2 linked regions of the Lytechinus pictus genome follow. The protein of the gene in region 1 purifies or fractionates together with the protein of each later gene. This does not show direct contact. Links are inferred from orthologs where the notes say so. Each region holds a gene or a part of one and is shown on either strand. Other genes may lie near its edges. The genes, in order: ubiquitin-conjugating enzyme E2 S-like and cell division cycle protein 27 homolog.

Region 1 (7,974 bases):
CAAGAAGTCAGGCAAATGGGCCCTTATTTTCGCCTTTAGTGTCTACAAATATTTGGAAGGGCGTCAAGGCCATTCTGAGGATATTGGAGGCCATGGGTGGCCTTGGGTTACTTTGAGGCCCTATTAAACTGTTGTTCTAATCACTGTAAGTTCTTATAAGAGCCAAGTAGTGACAGTGTCATAGTGAGTCAATTTATTTTGAGACAAAATCTTTAAAATCAAAGATTTAAAGTGTTCATCATGTTTTCATATGATCATCAATGGATAAAAAAAATGATATTGTTCAGGATACAAAGTAGACAAAGTCAGTGTAGACCAAGTGGCAAATTACCTTTCAACAATCAACAGCATCTGGGGCCCGTTTTACAAAAAGTTGCGATTGATACGATCAATCGCAAGTATAGAAAGCTAGCAAAGTCAATATATAAAATGCATGTTTGTTCAAAAATTTCTGCTAGATATGATGAATAATCATAAATTCATTGACTTCTTGACAATTTGGTGTGTTCTCCTTTGTTTGCAAAGGACATTTTGCAAATTTCCTGTTGAAAAAAATTATGACACTGATGGATTTCCATAGAGTTACCATTGATTGGATCAGTCGTAACTCTTTGTGAGACGGGGCCCTGCTGTCCATATCCTACATGATTTTCGAATTATAAAAGACATACTTTATAGAAAAGTTGTAGTATGGATGCTACCCCTGATATTACAAACTACTTAATACTGACTTAGGACCAGGACCCTCTGCACTGTGGAACAAGTCAGTGCTCTCACCACCCATCTTAAGATTTGGCAGGTAGAGCACTGGTCAGCCGTGATTGCAATTCATGCAAAATGCACCACTGACCAGTAAAAAATTATCTGGATTACCAAGTAAATAGGAGTTTTTCTTGAGAATTGGGTAATAGGCAAAATATGGTGAGAATTTACCATATTTGAACCTACGATAATCCTATAGTAGTTTAATCAATAAAATTAGAAATTATCATAATTTTTTTTACGTAGCACCATAACACCATTTGTAATTTGTTTCTTGCAACTTGTATTTTGAATTAGATAAAAATATGGTCAATGTTGGACTTTTGCACCGCTAGTACGTGTAACTTTTAAATTTCAGAGCCGTGACTTAGGACAATTGTCAATAAAAAAAAAACCCAGAAGTATGCAAGAACTACACACATGTACGCAACATAATATAACATGTATGTATCTATGGCCTATATTTCAAATGTTTTTTATTTCATCAAAAGAAAATAAACAAAACATGAATAATTTTTCTTAAAACAATACTCAACTCGAATATAATTCATTCATAAATCTAATAAAATTTAGATAATAATAATATGAGGCACCGATTGATCTACTTTGTCTATTCAATGGCGCACTATAAATTACCCCGACTTTAGCTCCAGCTGCTAAAGGCGCTTTGTGCATTCAAGGAATTAATTATGCCAGGTATACATTCACCTCACCTGGGCTGAGTGCAGCACAATGTGGGTGAATTTCTTTCTGAAGGAAAACACACTAATCGAACCCACGTCTCACTGATTGAAAGTCGAGTCGTAACCAGTAAGCCATGATGCCCCCACCCCCCTTCCCCCGATGACAACACCTAGATCCAATCTCTGAGTAAAGAACAAAAAAGAAGTATTTGAAGGCGAATTTCCTTTTGTGATCATTGTATACACAGTAACACCCCTCTTTACAAATGTCAAAATAGGATGCGGGGTGTAAATGCATCCCTTTCATGTGCTAAAATTGTGCCCCTTCAAACTTTTCAAGCTGTTTTGTAACTCACAGAAGAGTAGCAACACATTAAAGCATCAGAATGTTTGTAACTTGAATCTTTTTAATAGTGAAAGTAATAATACACAGGTTTGTTTGCTTTCTTAACCACTTAAAGCATCATCTGACAATATTATTGTGTACATAGTTTACTTATACTGTATGGTACATTTATCTGCGGAAGTTCCTCCAACAGTCTTGTACATGTAACACAGCTCGATTCATGAGAACAGAGTACATTGATTAAAACATTAGAGTAAACTTTCACTTTTTCTTTTAGCCAGACACTTGTTTTAAAGGTGTAACAATTTGGGGGTTAGTCAGCTGGGGCCCATTGCCACTTTTTGCCAGGCACTTTTTTTTTTTTGGGGGGGGGGGGTACTTTTCACAACTTACTGTCTACATCTGCAACATTGGAAAAGCTTTAACTTTGCAATGAATGGGGATTTCCAGGGCTTTTTAATTTTTTTTTTACAATGTTGATTCCAGGGCTTATTGAGCAATTCTGGGGTTAAATCGTCCCCAGCTACCATGTGATTTTTGTCTATGCCTATGGCATGAAGAGCTTCGCTTTAATAAGCACATCTCAAAATTCATATGCAAGTCCCTATTAACATATGTATCATTGGTTGAAAATCAAATTACAATTGTTTTCTGGAGTTGTGTTTGATCACAACTATTCATGTAACTGCAACGAGCCCCTAGTGCCACGAGGGCCCCTGGATGGTGGGAGTGTCCTAATAAGCCATTTGCTCTGGACCAACTCTTCACAAAAGGAATTTCTTATTTTCAATTGGATACATGTAGATCAACTCAATGAATTGTTTGATTTTTAAAAAGAACTTCTAAAAGCTTAATCTAGGACATTGTATTTTAATAAAGAAGCCACTGCACCTAGAGACCAGAAGACAAGACTTTCATAGGTTACATTAATTTACAAATTTTAAAAGTTTAACCCACTCATTCAATAAACAAGGTTATGATATAACCTTGTTCTCTGTTAAATCTCCATGTGTGGCTAAATAAGGGTGGCAATGTTTGGCTTATTTTCTCTTTTTCTTTGGGACAAATGCTTGATTTTTTAACACAGACAGTTTCCATAACACCTATTCATCATACAATTTGGCTCTTAAGTAAATTTGATTCTTTAAATTATTTTTTTCTTAATCAAAAATAGAGATTGAAAAATGAAAATTGTCTTGCCATATCAATTTCCACCAATAGAGGGCGTACACAAAAATATGCTTCAAATTCAAGTTTTTGAGCACTCTGGTGAATACACAAATTATTCCCAAGTTGCTAATGAAAAATAAATTGCAACTGTATGGAAATTAGTATTTTTGGTCACAATAGTCCTACCTGTAGATTCCCCACAGGCAGGTTGGTTGCAGTGAGCTAGTGGTTTAACCATTACATTGTCCTCTTTGAAATAACTGGCCATCATCTGACCCCTTGCTAAATACCCACTCATTCAATGAACAAACATGACTAAACTACTTGGTTGATAAATCTTTAAATGGAATATCAAGCATATTCTTCAAAACGCTGCGCGGAACTTCAATGTACAGAAAAGTTTCTGTGAAAAATCAATGCGGTTTATTTTTTTGTGGTTTGTTTTTTATTTGTAATTTTGAAGCTATGATCCTAAATTTGTGAAAAAAGGAAGTTCAAGAACAAAACCACAGATTTCCTGATTTTTAGAGCATTTTTCTGCACCCGCTTCTTAAATCTGAACTAATATCCACCGCATGCTCTGGAAATACATGTATGGTGTGGACACCGCAATTTTAGGGCAATTTTTTTTTAATTTTTCGCTTTCAGTGGGGATTTTTTGTGAGTGATACTGCCTATATGTGTTTGGTGGTGTTGCAGTGATCGACTCTGCTGGCACGGCATGTGAAATAAGTTGACATGTTCAATTTTGGGCAATTTTTATACTTTAAAACTAGCTATCAGGCGGCAATACAATGAAATGATTGAATTTTTCAAAAATTTGTATTCAACTGAGTTTTTATCAAAAAATTGGAAAAAAATCCTGAAAGTACCCATTCTGTTCAAATTTGATAAATTTCATCTCTCCTTTTCATAAGTTTCATACATCATGAGATACAAACAACAACATCAAATGAACACTTACTTTTTCTTCATTGTTACCAATTGTTTACTGTTCATTGAACAATTAACAACTGATAACAATGAAGAAACAATAAAGGCAATTGAATAATAAACAATGACATGTTAAATAGGGCCTAATGTTAAACATTAATATGAATTTGTAAACAAGCAAGACAAACTGCTATGCAAAACCATGTACCAAATCCTGAGAAAAAAGTATGGCTCTGGTAAAGTGAAAAATGGCACTCAAAGCAGCTCCCTAAATTTTTTTTTTTTAAAGATCTATGTTAGATCTAGAATTTTACTTTAGTTTTAAAAAATATATGACATCACTCAATTTTACACATGCACAGAAAGTCACACACCTAATGTCATTAATGACAATTTTGCAATAGGTCTACACCAAAATCAGACGATTCTTGTGGGAGTTTAATCATAACATAAAGCTGTTCATAAATAAGAGCGATTTTCATAAAGATGGTAAACTTTTCTTATGCACTATAGATCTAACACTCGATGAAGTACTAACAGTTAGATCTAACTTAATCACCAATTGGCACAACGTCAACAGTAATTTAGTAAGTAACACTCAGTCATTACAAAATGAAAAAGAAGTTTATGCCACAAACAGCCCCCCCCCCCGACACTTGTGTAAATTAAATGTAACTGGGAGTAGGACGACCATGGGCCATGTCAGACTCATAGCTGCAGCCAGGCCTCGCATGCTTGTGTGAGTGGGCCAGGACCAGAGCCAGGACCAGTCCCAGGCAGAAAGAGGGACGGGCAAGGACGGGGCCGCGATGACTGGCACTGTGTTGCTGCCTGTTGTTGCCTGCGCTCGCAGGGCTGAACTTTGGCTGAGCTGAGCTGATCGGCCTACGTCGCGTCGAGGCCAGCGCCAAGGCAATGATCAGCTCCATCATCTGCAAGTAAGTTTTCTTTTCCATATTTTACAAGAATAACTCAGGTTTTTGGGGTAAGAATACAACATGTTTGACCAAAAAGTAGGCACAAGTGAAATTACAAATTGAACTACATGAGAATCGGCAAAAAACACGACCGAAACTTACCCTTCCTCATTTGTGCTGTGCAGTTTCTGCTTAGCAATACACGGCCGCCATGTCAGATGCCCGGATTAATCACCGATCCCACTTTTGTCGATGACATCACTTTGTGTACAATCCAATTTTTAGTAAAAAGCCATGTAAATATCCAGGAAACAGAGCGAATGAATAAATCCGTCAATATTATTCCAAATACTTCTCATATACATGTATATCTACCGTTATGTATGCATTGTGTACATATAACTCCACCAACTGGATAATAAAAGACAATTTATCCACTCAATTCCATGGTAAATGTGGCTTCAAATGTCTTCTGCTACAGTAACCCGGAAGTGTGAATCAATCTGCACTGAAAGCTGCGCCTGGATTGGTCCATTCGTAATAGCGATGACCTGCTATGACCCAGCTGCTGTTGTTTTTCGTATTTGCAACGATCACCAATTTTATCCTGGGCAAATACACTGGTTTTTGACGGATTTTGGAAACCAATCTTCAGTATGTCACTTTCTGGGGTAAGATAAGATGCTTATATTTTTCAGTATAATTTTTACGTGATTATACAATTTAGAAAATGAGTAGGAATGTAGAACATGATTTTAGTTGAGATGACTTGAAAACCGGCGATTGTCAAAATACGGTTAACATTTTACACGCATTGCCAATACAAGTGTTGTGTATGTAATTCAATTGTGTGACTTTCATCATTGAATTCAGGACTTGAACAACAATACGCCCCCTATTAATTGAAAATTATAGGCCAAATCTAAAGTTATATGAAAGCTAAGTTGGTATGTCAGTTTACCAGAATTTAAACTAAGAAAAAGAGGAAGAACATGAATGAATTTATTATTATGGATGAGAAATGAAAAAGAAAATGAAGAAATTTCATCATATTCAATAATAATTTATAAAAGAAGTCAAGCATGCCAAGTTTAACCAACCTGCGGATAGCCGCTGATCCTCAAATATCGGGGGAAGAACAACATGAGATGAAAGAAGAAGAAGACCAGGAGGGGGAGGCCGGCCGAGCGTGCCGAGGAGGAGAATAGACAGCTGGCAGCCGTCTGTTTCGAGGAGTTTTTTAAACATTTTTTTATTTTTATTTCTCCTCGTACACAGACGGCTCGCTATCGTGCAGCCACCATTAGGGGGTTAACAATGCAAAATCCCCCCGACGTGGCTCATTGATTTTTGTCTTTATTTCATAAAAATATATAAAAATAACTGTACCAAAATAAAGAATATTATTCTGTTTTGGCCTGACAAGAAATGCACCAAAACAGGAAAAATAAACTTAAAAGGGGAAAAAACAGTGACTTACTTCGGCTGTCGTGCAACTTCACTTCCCTGTTTTATCTGACATTAATACATAAACATATGGCCATTGAGTCCCTGTATAGATCGGGCTAGAACTTTGGTGTCTGTATTTGGTGAGTGCCTGAGTGGAGCCAACGGAGTTCAGCGGAACAGCCAACATAACAGAGACTGGTCTAGGAGGAGAAGAACTTAATAATATAACTTAGATGAGAGCAGAGGAGGAGAATGAGTAGGACTTGGGTGAAATTATGAAGGGGAGGACAAGAGAAGAGAAAAAGAGATCAACAGATGAACTTATTTCTAAAGAGTAAAGGAGAAAACAGAAAGAAAAATTGGATGAATGTAGGCTTATACTCTATGAGGTTAGCCTAAATTTAAACGAAGAAAGAATGAAGGAAAGTGATGAGAGTGAGAAAAAGATCAAGACTAGAGTCTAGTTCTTTTGAGTAGGGTCTCGTTTTAATAGAAAAGGCATAGATATAGTAGGAGGATGATTAAAGATGAATAAGCAGGTCTATTAAACTGCCTCAAATAATAATGGAGCCCCCCCAAAAAAAAATGCTATTTTTAATTCATTTTTGGTATAACACTAGATCTCCTAGAATTTTAATCAAAGTGATGTTTTTAGGCTTATTGTAGTCACTACTTAATATTGATCACTTGATTTTTATTTTTTTTAAATGTGTTAGAATGTTTATAGAGGGCCTTTAATACAATTTAAATTAATACAGAGAGAATGGGCCTTAAATCAGTTTAAAAGAAAGTTCAAATGTATGTATGTGTTATTTGGATTGAATAATATTCCTAGAATCTGTTGCCGGAACTTACCCCCCCCCCCCCCATTCAAAAATTCAAGCAGATACTGTCACTGCATATTTAACTTTATATAAGCCTGTGCATTCTTTTCTTCTCTTTCTCCTCACAGACCTTATCCAACGTGGAAAATTTCTCTCCCCATGTAATCCGACAGATAGTGAAGGAGATTGCAGATCTGAAGTTGTCTCCGCCTGAAGGCATCAAGGTGTTTCCTAGTGATGAAGACATCACTGACATTCATGCTGTTATTGAAGGACCATGTAAGCTATAGTATTCTAATTTAATTTTCCTCACCCCCCCCCCCCCCCCTCTTTCTCCTTTCCCCTTCTTTATCAGTTCACATACAAGCATTAAAGTTCAATTCCTTTCTAGGGGATTTTTTTTTTTAAGGGTTGGGCAAGGCCACACTTCTATTGGGCACTTTTCTATAAATTGCAAATGGGGAAATGGAAACGGTCACAAGATATGTCCACGGCCAATATGTGGAGCATCCATGCCTCTCGAAAGGGCATCGAATGGCTTATGATATGTTTTGTTTTTAATATTGTTCATATGGATTTTAAAAAACAGCAATGAAGAAATAAAAACGATCGAATTCCTGCAGACACAAGATATCTGTGACTGAAAAATCATTATTCAATTAATCTTTTGGGGGAGGTTAATGTAATACTAGAATATGGAATAAAATTGGAATATAGATAGCGTTCGTGATCACTTTATTTTTCACATTTGTTAAGCACTAAATAATGATTTTAGGGTGTATTTTTATTCAGGGCTTCATTCTTACAACATACCATAGACACATGTTATTTACAAATGGCAATTTGCAGCTTAGATGTTCTAGAAGTCAAAACAATGTTAACCAATGCCT
Region 2 (7,311 bases), on another chromosome or scaffold:
TTTTATTTTGAAAAGGGACATTCATGTACATCATTTTGAAATAAGTGCACTCTCCATTTAAAAAAGGCATTTTTTCCTACTGGGATTTTTTTATGTATAGGGGGTTAAGTGCCCCTGCCGCCCCCCGGTTCCGCCGCCCCTGCTGCTAATATAGCCTCGGGTTATAATTTTTATCTAAGTTCAAACTGGTATTAACAAAAATATGTTGGTATGACTGCATTTTATAACGATGGTTTTCTTTAAAATATATATTTTTTACCATTTCGATCCATCACATTTTTGCATTTTTTTGTCCGTCGATATGCCCAGCGCTGAGAGGTCATGCCAAAACGTGATTTTGCATGAAGTACATTCTCTGAACCATCATCGGAACTTCGGAATCACACAGAGATGGAAGACCCCTTCCCCCAAATAGTTCCGCCTAGCTGTATGTCCTCGAATATATATATATATATTTAATAAGACATCAGAAATGCGAAACACAAATTCACGAGTAATGCAGTTTTTGCAATAAAATTTGCAATTTTATTATATATATATCACCATGATAAGTACGTAATTTTATTATCCGAGCACATGCAGCCGACCGAGGAGGAGTGGGTGGAGGGAGAGGCACCTAGGAGACGTCATACTTGTTCTTGTTCAGTATACTACCATAACAAGTTGAAAAGAAAAATGCAAAGAGAAACTTGGAGGGGGATCGATGTTACATGGTTATAACATACAGACCTACGCACCGGTATCATAGGCGGATCCAGGAGGCCGACGTTACGCCCCCCCCCCCCCCCCCGATATTGGCGGCGCAAAGTAATATGAACGAAAGCAGAGGGGGGGGGGGGGTGACAAAATATAAGAGGAAGAATGAATAAAAAAAGGTGAGGGGAATTCAGACTTGGGGAGGGGTGGGAGCCAATCATGTCACTACACAAGTATAAAAACAATTTAGCCCGCGCTTTGTGTTCGCATTGCCTGTTCGATGGAACATATATTCATCTATACCAATTCATTTATTGATTTATTCATTCAGTCATGGTTAAACAGGTTCACAAGTTCAGAGTTATTAGTATATAAAATCATAGTAACAAGTACAATGACAAGGTATAATTCATATCGAAATAGTATGAGACATAAAGAAATATTAACTGATCAATGTAATACAAAACACGGAAACATTGTTGAAGGGCTTATAGTAAAACGAACAAGGGAACTAAATAGGCCTTTACTTATTCAAATTTTTGAGCACCTTATCCGTCAGTGTGCATCTTAATTGTTTAATGATCATATTGCTCAGATCAATTTTCAGGACACAATATACACAGTCCGAAAATAATACCTCACGCTCGCATTTTTTATAGGGTTTAGTACTGTTACGACTATAGATTCCAACAAAAACTAGCTTTGAGCTGCCGATCGATCGGGAAAAATGTGGATGAAAATATTGTTCACCCCGGCCCCGTTATTAGTGAAAGCTGGATCCGCCCCAGAATATATTGTTTAAAAAAAAAGGCATAGGCCACGCGGTATTTGTCATTTTTTTGTGATAAATACATTGAGGCAGTATATTGACAAATAATCACTGGAAGAGAAAGAGCATCTTATAGGCCTATATAACGCACAAAGCAAAATAATGAAGAATGGCGGCAAAGCTAGTTCAATACAAAATGATTTCCTTTTCCTTTAAAAAAAAATGTTACAACACGTTATAATAATGAACAAATCAAAATACAGAACCTGAAGAAATTGATAACGATTCAGTGAATCGGAATCGAAACAAAAATGCGTATGTAAATATAATTATAAAATAGAAATAAAAAACGGGGAAAAAAATAAGAATAGCCCTTTCACAAGCAACCATAATTCTCCCTCCCTTCATACCCTGGACAAGTAAAGAAAAAAAAATACAGCTAGAGAAACGAAGCAAAGATGAAAAGCAAGGAAAGGGAAGGAAGCCGTCTCTCGGTACCTGGTACTCTGCCCAGATATCAAGATGTACGTCTAGGACCTATTCTCCGCGATTTGAAAAACAACGTGCATAACATCACAATTATTATGATGGTCATTTAAAAAAGTTCCTTGGTTGTTTCCAAGTTATTTAAATTGCCGTCGAGGGACTGCGCGAATGCACACGCTCCTACAGGATATGAATGAAAAAGTCGCAAACAGACTCCGCCGTTCAATCCGATACTGTACTGTATAGCCGGTATACAGATCGGCACGTGAGACAAGCGCAGAGGCGATGGATATGAATATTCATGAGCAGGTATTGATGTCATTTGGTCTCAAGGTGGCGCTCTTCATTTTTTATATCAATTTCAAAATCTGCATCAAAAGAAAGCTCACTTGGCAAAATTTCTCTTCTTTATATATTTTTTTGAGAATAAAAACAGTTCTTTTGGCCAATGCAATACATTTTATGGACTCAGAACTTGTTTATGAGTATTTTGAAAAGCGAAGAGTGAAATCTAAAAGAAAGTTTTGAAATAAACCAATGTCACAATTTACCTTTAAGGTCACACCACCATAAAGGGTCTGAAAGCCTAGACTAGTCGAAGTATCGGCTTATGGTCGCTAGAAAACCCCTTCCGCTATCAGCGCTTCTCCCTAGCATAGCGGGAAGAATCTTGACTGCAGTTGCAACGACTTGAGTTAAGAAACACTAAAAATAAAAAGATAGATCTAACGTGAGAGAAACAGGAAGTGAATGAACCGGAAGTCTCGACAACCTTTTGTTATTTTGGGTGGCTGTCGCAAGAACTCTTTCCGAAATTGGTATTCTGAATAATTTGATTCTGAGAAGCATACAGTAGCATGGGAGGTCCAGTGTCCGGACACTTTAAAATTTTGCCTTCTTTTTTGTCTTGACTTTGGATTGCACAAAAAATATGAATTCAGTAGTCTAGATCTAACTTTTTAGTGGTAAGATGGTGGTCCTTAAGTCTGCGCATCTAATAATGAGTGAAGATATATGAATTTCTTTTTCTTTCACAAAATCTTTCAGTTAATAATGTTTGTTATATTATGAGTAAGTGTACCAAATATCTCATAAGAATTTGAAAGAAATATAGGATTTTCTTGGAAAAACCTCGGGCAGTCATTTTCAGATTGAAAAAAAAACGGTACCCCATGTCTGAACACCCATTCACTTTACACACGATTCAGGGATTTGATGAGAAAGGGTGCAAATGGTAGATACATGTAATCTATTTTACATGCATACACAGACAATATTCACTGCAGTGTCATTGCAAATTATAGGCATTTTTTAATGTTTTGTTATATCTCATGTTATGTAAAAAGAAATATAAAGAACAAACAAATCAGGATTAAACAGAACAATATTTTTCATCAAAAACTCAATTTACTCACTGGTTAGAGGTGAGAAGAGAACTTAGAGAAGGATAATAAGATGGGATCCTGATTATCAGGAATAAAGTTGCCTTGTGACAGGCCATCACAGACCGCAATAAAAAATTCCAAAAAAGTGGAATAAGCACAATGATGCAAATGAAAAGGAAAAGATTGCAGAAAATACAGATTTTGAATGATTAAAATCATATTCAGAGATGATGCAGCTTTTAAAATTCTGGACAAAATATCAAATGCCTTTGCATTATCTTTTAAATTGTTTGTCAATTAATAGATGTAAAAATTTATAAAGATATGGGAAATTTTGCTGTCCTTTAATGTTTTAATAGTGGCATTAATTTGGTCAATGTCATCAATAACTAATTTTACAATGTACATGTAATCTACCTTGAAAAGTGGGGTAGGTGACTAGGCGTATGTTTGCACTTTGAACAAATTGCCCTCCACTTCCACAAAGATGCCATGATATGAATTACAATGAATATAGGCCATTTATGCACTTTGGCAGTGCTTATTTATAAATTCATGTATTACATTCATGCTGTCTTGAAGGGGGGGGGGATGGGTGATTGTACAGGCCATCCTTCCCTCTCTGAAAAGGTAAGGGGATCTCCCCCTTCCCCTGGCATATACGGGAGCGAATGGTCACTGCAACTTATTGGTTGCATACATTCATTATGCGCGGTGCAGTGCAAGTCAGTGACTCTCGCATGCAGCACATCTTAATTTCACAATTTTCATGTCCTATTCACGTTTCTTTCCTTTTTCAGGCGGCCATCTGGCAGTGCTTAAACCATTATGCCTACGAAGATGCTACCTTTCTGGCAGAGAGACTTTATGCTGAAGGTATGTGTGTTGAAATACAGTTTGTCAAGATGTAAGGGCAGTTTAGCCCCTGAAATGTACAAAAAAAAAATTGAAAAAGACTCAGTAAGTTGCAAAATGGCCCAGGTAAATTATCGGTTATCGGTGTGTACCTATTTCATTGATTTTTGTCTCTCCTGCATAGCAGAGCGAGACTATAGGCGCCGCTTTTCCGACGGCAGCGTCGTCAACATTGAAATCTTAACCAAGGTTAAGTTTTTGAAATTTCATCATAACTTAGAATTATATGGACCTAGTTCATGAAACTTGGACATAAGGGTAATCAAGTACTGAACATCCTGCTTGAGTTTCAGGTCACATGACCAAAGTCAAAGGTCATTCAGGGTCAATGTACTTGGACCATGTTGGAGGAATCAATATCAAAATCTTAACCAAGGTTAAGTTTTTGAAATGTCGTGTGTATCACTGAAGATCCTGCCTGAGTTTCAGGTCACATGACCAAAGTCAAAGGTCACTTAGGGTCAACAAACTTTGACCATGTTGGGGGTATTTGTGGAATTGTCATAACTTTTAAATTTTATGGATCTATTTCATGAAACTTAGACGTAAGAGCAATTATTAAGTATCCCTGAACATCCTGTGTGAGTTTAAGGTCACATGGCCAAGGTCAAAGGTCATTTAATAGGGTCAACAAAATTTTTATAATGTTGGGGGTACTTGTGGAATTGTCATCATAACTTTAAAAGTTTATAGATCTAGTTCATGAAACTTGGACATAAGAGTGTCCATGTATCCCTGAATATCCTGTGCGTGTTTCAGGTCACATGACCAAGATCAAAGGTCATTTATGGTCAATGAACTTTGGCCGTGTTTGGGGTATTTGTTGAATTGGCATCATAACTTAGAAAGTTTATGGATCTACACAAGTAGTTCATGAAACATAGACATACATGTAAGGGTAATCAAATATGAATGATTATTTTGCACACGTCTCAGGTCACATATCGTGGTCAAAGGTCATATTGGGTAAATGGACATACATGTAGTATTTTATTACACTGTTAAAAATGATTTAAACAACGCTGTTTACTATGTGAATGGCACAGTAGTTGTTTAAACATTTTAAACAAGTGTTTAAAATCTTCAACAACAAAGTTTAAATTCAAATTTAATTATTGAAAATTCAAGCATGGTTGTTTAAGATTTTAAACACTTGTTTAAACTGCTTAAACAACTACTGTGCGATTCACATAGTAAACAGCGCTGTTTAACTTATTTTTACCAGTGTATAATATGAGTGTTTTCTTTTGTGAATAATTATTCAGTAGCTGTTTTTAAAGTGAGCACAGCTGCTAATTCGAATCACGTAATACAGGCGGAAGAAATGGATATTTCTGAAGTGTAACATGTAGACCCATTTTTTCCCCCCTGACCATATATCACATGTTCTTTGTTTTAGTTGGGTCAGATGAGGGTCTATTCCTTCTTGCCACCTGTTATTACCGGTCAGGCCAGCCAATGAGTGCCTATACCTTGCTACAGACCAAAGGCTGTCCGACTCCAGCTTGCAGATTCCTTATGGCCAGGTGCTGCCTGGATTTAGAGAAGTGAGTATTAAGTATGACATTTAGGTACTATAGTTAGAAAAGATTTATGCGAGAGTAAGAAGAATTCAGAAATTCACACATTATTAGTGGTTGTCAGATTACCTATTTTTTATATATCATTATTGTCGATCACCAGTGTAGTACACTATATACCAAGTCAATTTTTGCATAATGAGGATTTGTGTGTTTCATTTTGATTTATTTGCTCATTCATGTTGTTATTCCACATAATTTTCTACAACTTAAGTCATTCGTTTTGATTCATTCCTGAACATGCCTTTTTTTATGGTCAATCATATTGTCTGTAACTATGCACAACACAGAAGTACATATTTTACCAATTGTGGAAACGTAAATAAGATTATAATATGCATGTAATACTTCATTGTAATATAGGCAATTATTTTTACCTTGTTCTATTATTATCATTATTAATTTTTTTTTTCTTTAATTTTTTTAAGGCTATCAGACTGTGAAACAGCATTATCAGGATCACCAATAATGAAGCCCAATACGTGTGATGATGTCGTATCATTATTTAAAGAATCAGCACCCTATGCACTCTCAGTACTAGGAAAATTATGCAGGTAATATGTGGCCCCTGGTAGCACAATGCTTAGCAAGGGTTTTACCCCCCGGTAGTGCTGATTTTCACAATTTATTGCATTGATCATTATGTGCAATCATCAAGTGTATGATTAATTACTAAGCTTTGTGTTATGGGCTTCTGGGTTCCAACCCAGCTTCCAATGCCAAACTTGAAACCACCTGTTGTGGTAATTGTACCAGTGATATGCTGAAAAGTCACTGATAACAAGTTACCATTTTCATCGGGTCCCAGTATATTTTCACAGCTTTGTTTGATTATTGAGTGTGAAATGGAAAGTGATTAATACATGCATGCCTTTTGTTTGAAACCTACCTACCTTTCAATAAAAACAATAATGAAATGAATTATTAACGACAGTTTTATTCATTTAAACCATATTAGAATTTACAGTGGTAATTTCTGATGGAATATTCCCTTATAAAATAATAATATTGTATGAATATTTTTATTACAATTATAGTGCATGTATTTTTAGAGTATCATATTCAGCGAACAAGAAGGTCAATTAGGATGTGTTGAATGTTGATTTTTCAAAACGCAGAACTTTATCATGATCATCGGTGCACCATACACAGTCAAAAATTTAAAGCTGATTTATGTTGATTATCTAAATTCCCCTGTTCCATCAGCGCAGCGTACGGCGCAGTTTGACTTGTCACAAGTTAGGTCAATTCTGGCGCACACTTTTCAAAATAATGTGTAAGCTTTCACTGTAAGAGCCCATTTAAAAAGACGTTTGAAAACTCAATTGATTCAGTGTGGCATTTTTTTGCAATCGCAATGCTGATCTTTTTTCAAAACACACCTTTTTCGGCTTTTAATTTTCCTCTGAATCTTATTCTTTGGACAGTCAATAGGGGGCAATGGACACACCCTTTGTTTCTTGTTATATCTGTGTTTTGT

The links.
Region 2: the proteins of ubiquitin-conjugating enzyme E2 S-like (region 1) and cell division cycle protein 27 homolog purify together in Homo sapiens (affinity purification with western blotting; 4 studies listed by BioGRID, with this or other methods). This does not show direct contact. The link is inferred for Lytechinus pictus from reciprocal best matches to the Homo sapiens genes UBE2S and CDC27.

The regions. Positions count from the first base shown.
Region 1 is NC_087254.1:11,969,203-11,977,176, reverse strand, and holds the start of ubiquitin-conjugating enzyme E2 S-like, read left to right. Parts: upstream 1-4,781; 5' UTR 4,782-4,832; intron 4,833-5,051; exon of another isoform or gene 5,052-5,292; 5' UTR 5,293-5,467; coding exon 5,468-5,482; intron 5,483-7,212; coding exon 7,213-7,363; intron 7,364-7,974. UniProt on the Homo sapiens protein: Accepts ubiquitin from the E1 complex and catalyzes its covalent attachment to other proteins. Catalyzes 'Lys-11'-linked polyubiquitination.
Region 2 is NC_087245.1:15,602,290-15,609,600, reverse strand, and holds the start of cell division cycle protein 27 homolog, read left to right. Parts: upstream 1-4,136; 5' UTR 4,137-4,212; intron 4,213-5,650; 5' UTR 5,651-5,709; coding exon 5,710-5,798; intron 5,799-6,259; coding exon 6,260-6,385; intron 6,386-7,311. UniProt on the Homo sapiens protein: Component of the anaphase promoting complex/cyclosome (APC/C), a cell cycle-regulated E3 ubiquitin ligase that controls progression through mitosis and the G1 phase of the cell cycle.